Linked DNA regions of Drosophila melanogaster. The protein of the gene in region 1 purifies or fractionates together with the protein of each later gene. This does not show direct contact. Each region holds a gene or a part of one and is shown on either strand. Other genes may lie near its edges.

Region 1 (5,814 bases):
GCCCATTTTTCATCATTCATTTGCATTTGCATTCATCTAATGATTCGGCTACTTTAAATTCACTCTTCTTGGAAGTAAACAAATTAAGAGTAATTGCCTTTTATTTATACACTCCGAGGGGATATTTTTTGAATTTTTAATTGGACGCATAACTACGATCTTGAGATGGCCAATTTGAAAAGTGCAAGTATTTATTATGATAATTTAAATGATTGCACTGCGTTTAGATAATTTGCAAGCAAAATCTAGATTTATATGTTATGCGAAATTGTTTTATATTCCTAAAAATGCAGGGGATAAACTTCGAGTGGATAAACTTGGAGCTCATTTAAGCTTCTGCAAAAAGTGAGAGTATGCGCTATTCGCATATCACTCACATTCGCTTTCGCACTCGTCTCTAGTTTTATATACTTCAATTTCGCCCCGCTATCAGGGCATTTGTTTATTCAGGCCGGGCACAGAACCTGTTCCACGATGGGATCAGATCACCTAGCTAGTCACCCGCACCGGCTCGTTGCAGTAAGAGCAACGAAGAGGAGCTGTGGAGAACTGTCCACATCCAGCAGAGAATTGACGAACTGCTTAAAATGCAGGCCGTGCCTCCTCCTTTGAGGGAGGGGGCGTGGCTGGGCAATGAGTCGCGGGGGCGGCAATTGAATGATGAAGTGCAAAACGAGATCACAATGGCAAATGCCGTGGGACTTGGGACGTGGGCGTGGGCGGGGATCTTTCTAGTGGAATCGAAACCAGAAACCGAATTAGATTGCTTGGCAGTGCCGCAGATGCAAACACACACACTTCGCACTGGGCAAGGTCAAGAGCCCCGGAGCGGTCGGGAATTTACCCGGATCGCAATGGGTTGGGGATTTTTCCGAGTAGTCCGAGGTGGCCTCTTATCAGCAGTCCTCTGGCACGGAGGCTATCTGCAGCCAGGTAATAGAAGGGAGGTAATGGAGCTACGCCCAGCACAAAGTGTGTTTGTCAGCGCAAAAGCTTCGTTGCATTATTTAACCGCACGGAAAAGGCATTCATCAGGGAAATTGTATGCGATAAAAATGAAGCACTGCTACTCACTTATTTTAAGTACAAATTGCAAATCGAATGGCATTTTTGAAACAGTGATACTTACTATTTTAAATAAAAGTATATAACAAAATAATATTTTGTTAAATGTGTTATATATGAAATGAAAAATTCATTAGCTTTAACTTAATGTAGAATAATTTGTTTATAACACTTTTCATTTTTTACATTTTTGGCATGCATTTACATAGTTACATAGCATTTCAAACTGCAGTTATGGCGCGAAAAAGACACTGTAACTTAACAGCACTCGCTCTGTAGATGCAAGCACTGCAATGCAAGTAAATTTCCAGCTATACATTTGTGGAGCTTAAGTGCATCTGCTTTTTGTACATTCTAATGTTAAACTTGTTGAACTAAAAAATGATAAGAATGATAAATAACAATCAAATAACAAAACGTTTGAAAAGCGCGCCAAGTGCGCTCAACAGCCCGCTGTTAGCCGAAGCGGTTGCTGGCCGGCGGTGTGCGTCCCCGCTAGAGCACTGCGCAGCCCTGGCAGCACTCGCGTGGCATTTCCGCACGGCGCCGCGCACGGTCACACCCTGTTAGCATTGTGACACGTCGGAAAGACCAAAAAAAAACTGAATTTGGAAATTAGGAAATAAGTTGGTCAATTGGCATTATCGGGATAAACAGGCGAACGGAATAGGCAGCCACGATGACGTCGCAAGTGCCGTGCTACACGATAATCAACTCGCCGGACCTGGAGGTGACCAACGAGATGCAACTGAAGCGCGATCTCGAAAAGGGCGACACGAACGTGAAGATCGAGACGCTGAAGCGGGTAATCAAGTTGCTGCTGAATGGGGAGCGGTATCCGGGCCTGATCATGACCATCATACGCTTCGTCCTGCCGGTGCAGAACCACACGATCAAGAAGCTGCTGCTCATCTTCTGGGAAATTGTGCCGAAGACATCGGCGGATGGGAAGCTGCTGCAGGAGATGATACTGGTGTGCGATGCGTACAGGAAGGATTTGCAGCATCCCAATGAGTTTCTGCGCGGCTCGACACTGCGCTTCCTCTGCAAGCTGAAGGAGCCGGAGCTGCTGGAGCCACTGATGCCGGCCATACGGGCGTGCCTGGATCACCGGCACTCGTATGTGCGACGAAATGCCGTGCTGGCCATCTTTACCATCTACAAGAACTTCGATTGGCTGGTGCCCGATGGGCCGGAGCTGATTGCCAGCTTCCTGGACACGCAGCAGGACATGAGCTGCAAGCGCAACGCCTTCCTTATGCTACTGCATGCGGACCAGGAGCGAGCGCTCAACTATCTGGCCAGTTGCATCGATCAGGTGCACACTTTCGGCGATATACTGCAGCTGGTCATCGTGGAGCTGATCTATAAGGTGTGCCATGCCAATCCCGCCGAGCGTTCGCGGTTCATACGCTGCATCTACAACCTGCTGAACTCCAGCTCGAATGCGGTGCGTTACGAGTCCGCTGGCACATTGATTACGCTCTCGCTGGCGCCCACGGCCATCAAGGCGGCGGCCAGTTGCTACATCGAACTGGTGGTCAAGGAGAGCGACAACAACGTCAAGCTAATCGTGCTCGATCGCCTGGTGGCCATGAAGGAGCACGAGGGCATGGAGAAGGTGATGCAGGATCTGGTGATGGACGTTCTGCGCGTCCTGGCCGCACCAGACATCGAGGTGCGCAGGAAAACACTCGCGCTGGCCCTGGACTTGGTCTATTCGCGTAATATTGGCGAAATGGTGCTGGTCCTCAAGAAGGAGGTGGCCAAGACGCACAATGTGGAGCACGAGGACACTGGCAAGTACAGGCAGCTGCTCGTCCGCACCCTGCACACCTGCTCCATCAAGTTTCCCGATGTGGCCGCCAATGTTATACCCGTACTGGTTGAATTCCTCTCGGATACCAACGAACTTGCCGCCGCCGATGTGCTTATCTTCATACGCGAAGCCATCCAAAAGTTCCCCGCCCTGCGCGCCCTCATCATTGAGCATTTAATTGAGGCCTTCCCGCAGATTAAGTCCTCCAAAATTCATCGCGCCGCCGTTTGGATTTTGGGTGAATACGTGGAGGGCTCGCAAATCCTGGAGGTGATTGCCGTCATTCAGCAGACGCTGGGCGAAGTGCCCATGGTGGAGGCGGAGCAGCGTCGCTTGGCCGGCGACCAGACCGAGGAGCAGAAGCAGCAGCAGGGATCCGCAGGCGGCAATGCAGCTGGATCCGCCGCAGAGGGCTCTGGCTCCGGAAACGCCAGCAACAAGGTCACCTCCGATGGAACCTATGCCACCCAGAGTGCCTACAGTCTGGCCCCGTAAGTAATGGCTACGTGTACGTATATCATGCCACCAATGAGGCATTCGAGGCTTGTGGCATTGCATCAGCTTGCACTGATAAGTATGCCTCTAGCTAGACATGCCCATTATCTATTGTTCGGCAATGAGTCATCTTAATACGTAGCACCTACAAAATAGTTGTTTGCAGTTCTGATTCTAACGCTGGTTAATGCTTTCTGCAGGGTGGCCAAGGCGGAGAAACGTCCGCCATTGCGTCAGTACTTGATGGACGGCGACTTCTTCATCGGCGCCGCTCTATCCGCCACGTTGACCAAGCTGGCACTGCGCTACGCAGAGCTGGAGACGGAGGCGCGTGCCCAGAATCGTCTGACCACGCAGGTAATGCTGATCATGAGCTCGATACTGCACCTGGGCAAGTCCGGTTTCCCTAGCAAGCCCATAACCAACGATGACACCGATCGCATCTTCGTCTGCCTGCGCACGCTGAGCGAACGCACGCCGGAGGCTATCTCCGTCTTCACACTGTACTGCCGCGAGGCTCTGGGCAAGATGCTGGATGCGCAGCACGACGAGGACCAGCGCATGTTGAAGGAGAAGCAGAAGGCCACCGCCAAGGTGCAGCCGGACGATCCGGTGCTCTTTGCACAGCTCTCGAACGGACGTGACAATCAGCTGGGCGAGAATGTGTTCGAATCCAGTCTGAACCAGGCGTTGGCCGGCAGCAAGAACGCCCAGCTGAGCGACGTGGCCTCGCCGAACAGCAAGCTCAACAAGGTCACCCAACTGACTGGCTTCTCGGATCCCGTCTATGCGGAGGCCTACGTCAATGTCAATCAGTACGATATTGTCCTGGACGTGCTGATCGTCAACCAGACCAGTGAGTAGTGCATCTTTAGGCGAAAGGGCATCGCTTTCAATCCATGAAATCACTTTCAGACGACACGCTACAGAACTGCACACTGGAGTTGGCCACATTGGGCGATCTTAAGCTGGTGGAGCGCCCGCATCCAGTGGTCCTGGCTCCGCACGACTTCTGCAATATCAAGGCCAACGTAAAGGTCTCCTCCACAGAGAACGGCATCATCTTCGGCAATATTGGTGAGTTGCTAATTGCGGAATTCGCTGTTAAAGTGCACTCACGCTCACTTATGGCGCTTAACCAACAGTTTACGAAACCGCCCTGAACACGAATGTGGTGGTCCTCAATACCATTCACATCGACATCATGGACTACATAATTCCGGCCAGCTGCACGGACACCGAGTTCCGTCAAATGTGGCAGGACTTCGAGTGGGAGAACAAGGTCACCGTCAACACCAGCTTCACCGACCTGCACGAATATCTCAAGCACCTGCTGAAGAGCACCAACATGAAGTGCCTCACGCCGGAGAAGGCGCTGTCCGGCCAGTGCGGCTTCATGGCCGCCAACATGTACGCCAAGTGAGTGTCCAGCTGTCCACTATGGAGTAGCCATCATATTCTCATCACAACTCATCCGCTCACTTTGCAGGTCCATTTTCGGAGAGAATGCCTTGGCCAATCTGAGTATCGAGAAGCCCGTCGATGATCCCGATTCGAAGGTGACGGGACACATACGCATTCGCGCCAAGAGTCAGGTGAGAGTCGAGCACAAACCAGCCGCACATCTGCACATGGTCATGCGCAACTTTCTAATCCGTATTCCGTATTTCGCGCCTTTCACACAGGGCATGGCCTTGAGTCTGGGCGACAAGATCAGCTCCTCGCAGAAGCAGTCGGTGCAGGCGGCCTAGTGGACGTGGAACTGGACGTGGACGACCAGCCACCAGCAGGAGCGACGTATCTAGACGACGTACTCGGCCACCTGCCCGCATTCCGCCAGCTGCAGCTTCTTCAATTTACATTACACGTTACAATTATACATAAAGAATATAATATTATACCTTAACCCCAAGATTGGCAGTGGTTTCATTTGACGGGGCTGTTTCCATAGAAATTCGGACTACTGGTTAATTGGTTGTGTGGTACGAGTATCAGTGTATTTATTTTGTTTTTTCCTATTTAACAATAAGTATGTATGCACTTCGTCTTGCAATAAACGAAAAGGTAGAATTGGAACAGATAAAATACCCAAGTTTTGTATAAGTTATGATACACAATTGTTTTAAAATCTGGAGAAATAATTGATTGTTTAAACTAGCTAGTGCTAAAACGATTACATTTCTATTGAAGTGCTCCCAAGTAGCTGGCGGCTATATAAATTCGTCTTAGGCCTGGAGCATGGGCCGTTTTTCCTTGGCCTGGAGGTGGTCGTTCGTCGTTGCGTAGCCAGTGCCGCCCTGTGAAATAGTCGAGAAACCTTAGCAATGCAGAATAGTTGCACAGTTCGCGATGTACTTACTCGCTGCAGGGGAATGATGTCCTTCTCCTTGAGCTTGCGATCCGTGAGCGGATGGATCATGTCCTTTCTGATCAGC
Region 2 (4,432 bases), on another chromosome or scaffold:
CAACAGTTTTCGATCCAACGGACACTTTGCATCCAAACTTTTTAGTTATCCCTGAATGTTATTAGCCCGAGGACAGCCGAACCACCCAATGGAGCACGGATGGTTTGGTTTCGTCCTCAGATGTGTCATTTTCTATAACTTATCCATAGAGGGTAAATCGCATTTGGAAAGGAAGGGCATTAGATGCACACGTACTCAAAATCAATCATGGTCATCGAATACACTTTAACACCTTTCACTTCAAATGAAAAGCGACAACGAGATCGTATTTTATTCGAAAATTAATACAACTCTTTTGCGATGCAAACGGGGACGAGTCCTCACAAATATTATTGAAATGTATCTGCGAATAAGCATTTGAAATATTGTACTCAACAAAATGAATAATCGTTTGCTTAAATTTCAAAAATAAAAAGCGATAACTTACTTAGATTCGTTATCTAGCGGTGGCACCGGGTTCGGTGCGAAAACCACGTTGTTTTATTTCAAAGGCCCCCGAAGGATCACGCGTTTCAGTTCAGTTTTCGTAAGTTAAGTTTATTAATACAAGAAACTGTGTGCATGGCTGTGTATGTGGGTGAGTGTGAGAGTGGTTAATGAAATTTATAATTTCCATGGGACTCGTTTATGAAAATACAATGCACTCTTTGTGGGAGCGGGAGAAACTAGTTATAGTAGGGAGTACGAATCACAGAGGAGCCGCTTAACTCTCGTCATCGCTGCCGGCAGCCTGTCGCACCTTGGGACCTCCGGCGCGCTTGGCCATGATGATCTGGTCCACCTTCAAGATGGTTGCGGCCGCGCCAACAGCGTACTTGAGACCCCAGAACTTGGACTGGTACAGATCGAAGAGCTTTGCCTTCGTTGTGTCGATGGTGCTGGCCTTCTCGGCCTCAATGTCGAAGCCGATTGTCTTTCCGGCCTCGTTGTTGTGGGCCAAATACAACTGGTTGACGATTTCCGTGCCATTGATGCCGGAGTTCTCGGCCAGAGCCTTGGGGAAAACTTCCAGCGCATTAGCGAACTTGCGCACGGCGTACTGGTCCAGACCAGGCAGAGTATCAGCATAGGCGGACAGCTGGGTGGCCAACTCGATCTCGGTGGCGCCAGCTCCGGGCAGATAGCGGCCATCCCGGGTCAGGCACTTGAAGTTGTTAATAGCGTCATCCAGGGCACGCTCAATGTCATCCATGAAGTTGTCGGTAGCTCCACGGATCACCACGGTGGCAATGCGCGAGTCCTTGCCCTCGTTCCTGCAATGATTCAATAAGAAATTATAATGGTATTTTCTCTCGCTAATTCCATTGAAAATCCCACCTGAAGGCCACAATTGTGGTGTCTCCCAGTTCCTCGATGCAAACTTTGTCGCAGTAGCCCAACTCCTCCTGACTGGGCGTGGTGATGCGCGGCAGGACAGTGGCGTTTACGGATCGGCTCAGGCGACGCAGGTCGAACTTAGAGTTGAGACGCACGGCCATCAGACCGTATTTGTTAAGGAAGTGCAGAGCCATGTCGCCAACCTTGCCGCCGGCCACAACCACCTTGACACCTGCGTCGGCGATAGCCTTGATCTGGCTCTCCAACAGGCTCTCTTCGCCGGAGGAAAAGCTCAATAGCTCGTCGGCCGACTTGATCAGCACTGTGCCCTTGGTCTCAGTTTGGATAATATCGACGGGGCAGGAGAAAATCACGATCTTGGCCTTCTCTGCATAGGTCACATCGCCTTCTACGAAGCGCTTGAAGACCATGCCGCGAACCACCTCAGACTTGGTCAGTCCGCTGCCCAAGATCTTACAGATGCGAATGTTGTCCACGTTGAAGGTGCCCTCATCCGGCAAGATGGAGACGCAGGCCTTGCTCACCAAATCGTTGAGGAAGTCCTCCTGGCCGTACTGCTTCGACATGATCGATGTGCGGAGTACCTCCTTGACCTTCTCCACATTGCGATAGTCCTCGATCTTGTGGCTCACCAGATTGGGCAGAATCTCCAGAGCCTTCTCCAAGGCCTTTTCATAGCCGTCGGAGATCTCGGCAGTGGTGATTCCTAGACGCAGCAGCTCCTCAGCGGACTCCAACAGAGCTCCGGCCAGCACCACCACGAAGTTTGTACCATCGCCCACCTCGGCATCCTGCATCTGGCTGGCCATGACGATCAACTTGGCGGCTGGATGCTCAACATCCAGCTCCCGCATGATGGTGCCGGCATCGCTGGTCACGAACTGCTTCTCGATGTGATTGATGATCATCTTGTTCATGCCATTTGGCCCATAGGCAGAGCGCATGGTCTGTGCAAACTCCTTGCAGGCGCTGATGTTGCGGAACACCGCCTCCTCCAGCCCACTGTACATCTGAGGACACAAGTAAAGCCATTAAATTAGTCATTTTTCTTTCATATGTCGAGCCCCGTTCCATGAGGATGACTAATCACGCGCCTCCGCAAGACGGCATGTTTTCTTTTAAGCCGAATCTCAATGAAACCGATGCCCGGCGGACTCCTCGCAGAGTTATTCCTCCTTGTTGCACTTACCCGGGCGCCATCCTTCAGCATCTGCGACACACCGGGAGCCTTGGGAACGGATAAAGCCATTTTTTAACACAGATTTCAATTTCACACGGAGTCAGTCGGTAAATTCCAGCTATAGTTATAACCTCAAAGTGGCCGCGAACATTCTGGATGGGATAGCGATGGCACTTGCCTATCGATTATCGTAAACGGTGACTGGCGCTATTTTATTTTTATTTTACATTTGAATTGATCTTTTTCAATAAGGTAACGATTCTCAATGGTTTATGATGAATAGCATGCAATTAACAATATAGTTCAGCAGTGGAGTTTACGCCCCAAAGAATCCTGTAAATCGAGTTTATTTCTTGGTCTTTGAACGCATTTACTTAAATAATCCAGGATAATGTATATAAGTTACTCCAAATAAGTAATATTTACAGTTGCAAAAGAATTTACTCATTTTAAGTTTTGAGGAAATTTTAAAACAATTAGAGTAAAATATTTTATTATTTAATTTAAAAACTGAAAAGTTTATTTAAAAAATTCACATTCCCATTGGTTTATTATATTGTTCACTCGATGAATTTTGTTTGCATATAATTTGATAAATCTTTCAAGGGTATAGGAAACGTCGGTAAATGCAATTCAATCGTGAGTCGTGCGTGACATTTGCGTGATAGATTGCATTAAGTGCGACGAGTGTGAGCCGATGTAAACACTAGCCTTAGCGCCCATCTCTAATTCAAAACATAAAAAACGATGTCGCTGGGCAAGAAGCACGTGTTGGGATTTTCGCCCAATGGTGGCCAACTATTTGCCTCGGTGGACGAGTCGGGAGTTCTGCGGATATGGAACACAGAGACGAACACGCTGTATCAGGAGTTTACGCCCAATCTACAGTTATCCGGGTCGTGCACAGCTCTCACGTGGGTTTTGGTGGCCGGTTCCCGGCCCAAGAAGTCGCGGAAGAGCCTCCAGGCACAGGATGCAGCCGGTGATCAGCTTCACATTGCTCTGGGAACGTACAAGGGCTCAGTGGTTATATACTCATTAGCCGAGGGAAAGGTGAGTCGGACAAAGAGCCTTGAAGGCGAATAAACCACAAGCAATCCTTGCAGATTTCTCGAACGCTCAGTGGCGACAGCCATGATGGACCAGTGACCTCAATTACAAATGACAACGCTGGCCACCTATACACTGTGGGTGCCGATTGTAGGGTTGTTGTTTGGTCCTTGACGGACGAGCGCTCCATCGCCGAATGGCAAGTGGGACCCGAGAAGCCCCAAAATATAGTCTACCTTCAGAAAAGTGGCACCTTGGCCATTGGCTACCGACAGCTGAAGGTGTACGATATCAAGACAAAGGAGCTGGTGGAAACGTTCACCGGCCACTCGGGCGAAATAAACACAATCAGCAGCGTGGCGAGCACAGATGGCACTGAATTCGTTTTGACCACCGCGAAGATGGAGCGCGTAATCTGCTTCTGGAAGATCGACAAGAAGGGCAAGAACAAAGCCTCCGCCTGCACGCTCCTCATGGAGGACTTGGCCTACTGTCTAACCAGCGAAGTGCGCGACGATGGTCAGCTACGTGTGGCCAGTGTTACCCGCAATGGCATCATACACATTTACCTGTTGAATGTGAACAGGTGGGTCATGTGAATACACGTTTTGTCACTCGTACTGAAGTACTATGTTTCACAGTTTATCCGCAGAGAAGTTTGTGAAGCCCAAGGTTTCGCTGCAGATCGTTTCCGATGGCGCCGAAACAGTGGAACCACTTCTAGCCGTGGCGGCCCACTTTGTGACAGACTCAAATCGCTCCCACGAAATCCTCTTTGGCTACGGAAGTCGCCAACAGCTGCAGTTTGAACGTTTTACGCCCAACTATGGCGAGAAACTAAACGTTATTGTGCGCGCCGATCCC
Region 3 (4,779 bases), on another chromosome or scaffold:
TGGTTTTGGCAAAAATCTGAAAATGTAACTAAAAACATTCCCTTTAGGTAAGTGTTACCGTTTCAATAAAGGTTATATCGTATGGGTATATGGTTTTAATAATAGATTACTTGAAGGTCGCAGCGATCAGCCTTTTACTTCACATTTGTCATATATCAAACCCAATATGAAGTAGTATCAACTTTGGACTTTGATAAATTTATTCTTAAAAATTAATTAACTGTCTTTTTCTTATCACAGTACTTGTTTTTTTATCCTTAGAACGAAATTCATAAGTTATAGTCCAAGGCTCTTAATTATTATGGTTTCGTACCGCAAAAAAACTTGTGGTTAAAAGGCTTGATAATTTAACACATTGGCATATTTAAACCATAAATCGGAGGAGTTAAATCAAACCAAAACGTTATCATTGTCAGCATGAGAAAGTTCAAGTACCAAAATAAGCGGCACGTGTATAATACTGTTTTGGCTTTGACACCTTAAACGCAGCGACTAACGAATACTCTTCTTCGAACATAACCAATAGTAATCTTGTATCGACCTATAGGCACCATAGAAGAGTGTAATCCCCACGAAGGCAGAGTATTAAAGTTTAATTCCCGCCTTTGGAGCTGATAAGATATGGTACGTCCAGTAATTGGGAATGACTGGCCGGTTTTGCACCATTGGCCTGATAGCTTATAAAAGATTTCCATTCAGACGGAGGCGTGGCCCTCTTATCAGCTCACCAATACGCTAAAATCGCCCAGCAGCGTGTGGAATCTTTTTGGAGGTGGTAGTTAATCCAATAGGTTGATAGATTTCTTCAATCTTATCTCCAAGCTTTAATGGTTTTCAATTGCTTCTTTGGTAGCAAAGTTTATTGAAATGAGGAGCCTTCGAGATAGATTGGCAAATATATATATTATAAACATGAGATCGAAATAAATAATCGATTATAAGCCCCACTAGCACATTCTTTCGGCCGCAGATACCCTACACTTCCTCAGTGCAGCATTATCGGGCATACGATAGTACATATATCTATATCTGTATTTTACACATATATGTATGTTTATGTTTCTGCCGACGCTCATACACAACATCATTCTTGTTGGCCCCTTTTTGATTCTTTCTGTCTGGTGATAAGACTGCCCAGGTTTGTTATGGCCACAATCGCGCGTGCCGCAATATAAAAATAAAAATCTCAAAACCACCGATATACACGTGTCTACCTATATATATATACGCCATACACATATACACACCGGCAAGATCAGTTTTTTAGCGAGGGAGCGCGAGAATCTGCTCACTGAGCCGATGATACTGGCGATAATTGGGAGCGTAGGCGGGCTCCCGCTCCTCTCTTCTCCTCTTCTCTCCTCTCACTCACTCGTATCAGCGCCAGATCTGGACATCCATTGGGAGTCGTACGATTCCTCTGACTCGTAGACCCACCGGCTGTTCATATAATAAGTTCCACGCGTCCGATCCCGACGCCCAGACCATTCGAATTCACTTCACTGTTGCGACACAGCGAAGCAACAACAAGCTCATAATGTTCTGAAAGTTTCCACGAGCATAATAGATCCATATCAGGGTTGTTTCGTTTCCATTTTTCATCCGTGGGCATTGTGGAAACAAAGAAGTATATCCTATTATAATATATTATGAAAATAAAGGATTTAATTGCAAGGACATGTAAAAGGAATCTTAGCGATTAGACATCATTAAGAAGGTTACTTTATTTTCAGTAGGCTATTTTCATTCGATTATTCATCAGTCATAATCAAAATTTTAAGTTTCAAATTATCTTATGGCCGCCTTTTATAAATTACAGCTCTTCTAAATTATCTTTATGGTACGAAAAGTCAAGTAAGTCTATAAAATTTGGTGGAGTTTTCAGGCTTTCGAGACCTGTGCCATTTTGGGGCTCGGTGCACAGCTGTTGCTCTCTCCGCCCGCCTTCCCCTCTCTCCTCCTCCAAGGAACCAATGTCAAAAGAAAGTTCTCCGGTGCGACCGGCAAAAACAGCTTTGCGCTAGGCCAAAGTTCGTTGATGTTCCAGTCTCTTTACTGGGTGACATTGGGGTATATCAGATCCGTGCTAAGTGGGTAACAGCTAGATGAAAGCCTTAGTGATTTCCATACGAATTTCATAGTGTCATTTTAAACTTAGCCTTTCAATGTGTTGGATTAGAAGTGAGGCAAATAAAGATGCAATTCTGAGATTATAATATATAATTAATATATAAATATACTTTGTATAACTCAACTATCCTATGGAGATATTAATTGGGTATAGTTAGATTTTACGATTTATTACATGAAATGCCCACAATTCGTTAGCCAGATTTGATATGTTAGCTTTGGTAGCTAAGAGGTATCATAGATTCGATCCGCCCATTTCTATCGAGAACAAATCATTGCCGGCAGGGAGCACGCGCAGACATCGAAACTGCGAGAGGAGCCTCACAGATTGGGAGAGAACGTTAATGTTCCCATTGAAACCACCACGACCACTCTCCCACGGAACTAGTCGAAAGTTTCGAGTTTGTGCGCTCGACCAGTCCGACGGACAGCTTTGAAGTGAACGGTTCGCGAGTTCCTGGGCAGAAGAGAGAATCAGAGTGCAGCAGAGCAACCGTTTGCGAATTCGCGCTGTTCTACCTACATAGACCAAAACCAAACCAATTCCAAGCAAACCAAACCAAACGCAACCCCGAGACCAAACGCAAAAAAAAGAGGCCGGCAAGTTGACAAAACCTCGCGCACATAGGATACATAGGAACCGTGAATTTGTATGTGCTGAGCGCGGTACATAAGCTAAAGAAACCACGTTGACTCACGACCCGTTTGAAATTGTTTTGTAGTGCTGGAGCAGCGATTACCCACTTTGCGCCAGGACAACGACAATAGGCGCAGAGCGCTCCTTCGGAACTTTCGCCATCAATAAGTAAGTCGCCGGTCGGTCGGCGGACTGCGTCTATCGATCAAGTGCATAGCCATTTAATTGCATAATTTGTGCTCAATTTCTTCTTCCACTCGGTTCGGCTGGTTTCTTTCCCCAGCCCTTTCTCGCCGTCCAACCATTGTAATTTGCCATCGTCACTCTCTGGCAGACATGTGTTAATTACATTTTATTCTATTCTATTCCATACCATGCCATACCATGCCATACCGCACCATACCATGTCGTAGCGTAGCATACCCCCATGCCCCCAAACACACACCCGTGCGATAGACACCATCCCAGAGAGGGAAATGTGGCTGTTTTATTTTCGGACTCATCCTACTTGCTGCCCAATATTTATGACCTTCTTATGGTTTCGCCATTGGGGAAACGTGTTTGTCGCACATAGATCCATAATCTATACGTAGTGTGCGCGATTACTCGGAAATTATCTACATATCGTGTGCAGTGTGATCAGGGATTGCGAACGGGGGTGATCCGAAATTTAACCAGTTTATGGGCACAGTTTGATTTGTTTGATTGCTATTGATTCGCCGGGACCGACAGGCCGTCACATATACTTGTATGGAGAGCTGGACCCGGACTAGTCAATGTCAAAGCTTCGTCTCTATCAGCTTTTCGTTTGGCGTGATAAGGTCTAGAGTCTAGACAGGCTGCTCAAGTAAATATAAGGTTTTCGAACGAATGTAAGATCTCTGTAACTTTTGCTGGCAAAGAGAGAGTTTTGTTAAAAAATAGAAGATCCTGGGCGACACGAGTTAATGGCCATAGACTTAATTTTCTAGCGAAAATATAATATAAAAAATAGAAGATCCTGGGCGTTCCATCTCCTTATCAATCATTGCTATTTATAGTTTTTCTTTTTAGTTCAGAATGCGGATTATATAACTTCACATCTGGAACTGAAATACTGAATGCAGTTTAAGAAAACAACTAGTAATCGGAAGTAGAAAAGTCCATCTATTCTTATTCTCACATTTTGGCGACAAAATCAATGTACGACCTACATTCAAAAGCGACTTTGACCTTAGCAGCTTGTCGTTCAAGATCATACGTTTGTGGAGCAAGAAAAATAAATAAAAATAAAATCATAGCACGCACATTTTCCTGTGCAAAAGTTGGTGAACAAAAGCAAAGCGTTCAAGTGACTGGGGCATTCCAGTACTATTAGTGTGTAGTTAGTTGGCTATCATGTTATTATTACATAATCGCCCATTCCGATGGGCAAACACAATCGGGCTTCGGGTGGGTTTTGGCTGAGTTTTGGTTGGGTTTTCGTATGCCGTGTCAACAACGTTTTCGTGTAATTGCATGAGATTGGCCCTGACAGCGCCCACTTTTCTTTCAGAAAATATGAGGCAACACACCCAGTCAACAAGCAACAGGATAATTGATAGCCTGCAAATATTGCCAGAAATACAGCACAAAAAAAGGTGCTGAAGCTATCCCAGAAATACCTGAAATAAACCCTGATTTGCATGCGAAAATACGTGTTATTTTCACATCATGCTAACCAATTGTAGACATGCATTCTTCACTTTATTCCGATGCTAATGCGCTTTAATTTTTAAATACAGCAGGGGAGCCAGTGATCCGGTCTTCAAATAGTTTAAATTCTAATTGAAACGTAAATAGATATAGATTCTTTATCGCAGATCGATATTTAAATTATTTATTGAAAATCCTTTTCATTCTTACGAAAGCGATAGGAGAAAAGCTTCCGATTATAATTTCCGCTTGCGGCTAAGATTAGATTTGCCACGTTTCACAGATACCAGTTTCAAAACTTTTATTAACCTAAAAATAAAGATTATTTCTAAACAACA

The links. Proteins that work in one complex are often made in the same cells at the same time.
Region 2: the proteins of betaCOP (region 1) and CCT8 purify together in Drosophila melanogaster (affinity purification with mass spectrometry, with the first as the bait; one large-scale study listed by BioGRID). This does not show direct contact.
Region 3: the proteins of betaCOP (region 1) and PCB purify together in Drosophila melanogaster (affinity purification with mass spectrometry, with the first as the bait; one large-scale study listed by BioGRID). This does not show direct contact.

What each region holds. Positions count from the first base shown.
Region 1 is NC_004354.4:18,381,024-18,386,837, reverse strand, and holds betaCOP (coat protein (coatomer) beta), read left to right. Parts: upstream 1-1,595; 5' UTR 1,596-1,744; coding exon 1,745-3,375; intron 3,376-3,579; coding exon 3,580-4,235; intron 4,236-4,294; coding exon 4,295-4,456; intron 4,457-4,524; coding exon 4,525-4,798; intron 4,799-4,868; coding exon 4,869-4,974; intron 4,975-5,064; coding exon 5,065-5,130; 3' UTR 5,131-5,289; downstream 5,290-5,814. Other genes in the region: CG6179 (uncharacterized protein), read right to left, coding at 5,605-5,676, 5,739-5,814. UniProt on the Drosophila melanogaster protein: The coatomer is a cytosolic protein complex that binds to dilysine motifs and reversibly associates with Golgi non-clathrin-coated vesicles, which further mediate biosynthetic protein transport from the ER, via the Golgi up to the trans Golgi network.
Region 2 is NT_033778.4:8,904,326-8,908,757, forward strand, and holds CCT8 (chaperonin containing TCP1 subunit 8), read right to left. Parts: upstream 2,666-4,432; 5' UTR 2,588-2,665; coding exon 2,528-2,587; intron 2,349-2,527; coding exon 1,318-2,348; intron 1,254-1,317; coding exon 704-1,253; 3' UTR 519-703; downstream 1-518. Other genes in the region: CG30349 (uncharacterized protein), read left to right, coding at 3,266-3,571, 3,625-4,154, 4,210-4,432.
Region 3 is NT_033778.4:9,858,526-9,863,304, reverse strand, and holds the start of PCB (pyruvate carboxylase), read left to right. Parts: upstream 1-1,761; 5' UTR 1,762-1,854; exon of another isoform or gene 1,855-2,160; intron 2,161-2,545; exon of another isoform or gene 2,546-2,935; intron 2,936-4,779.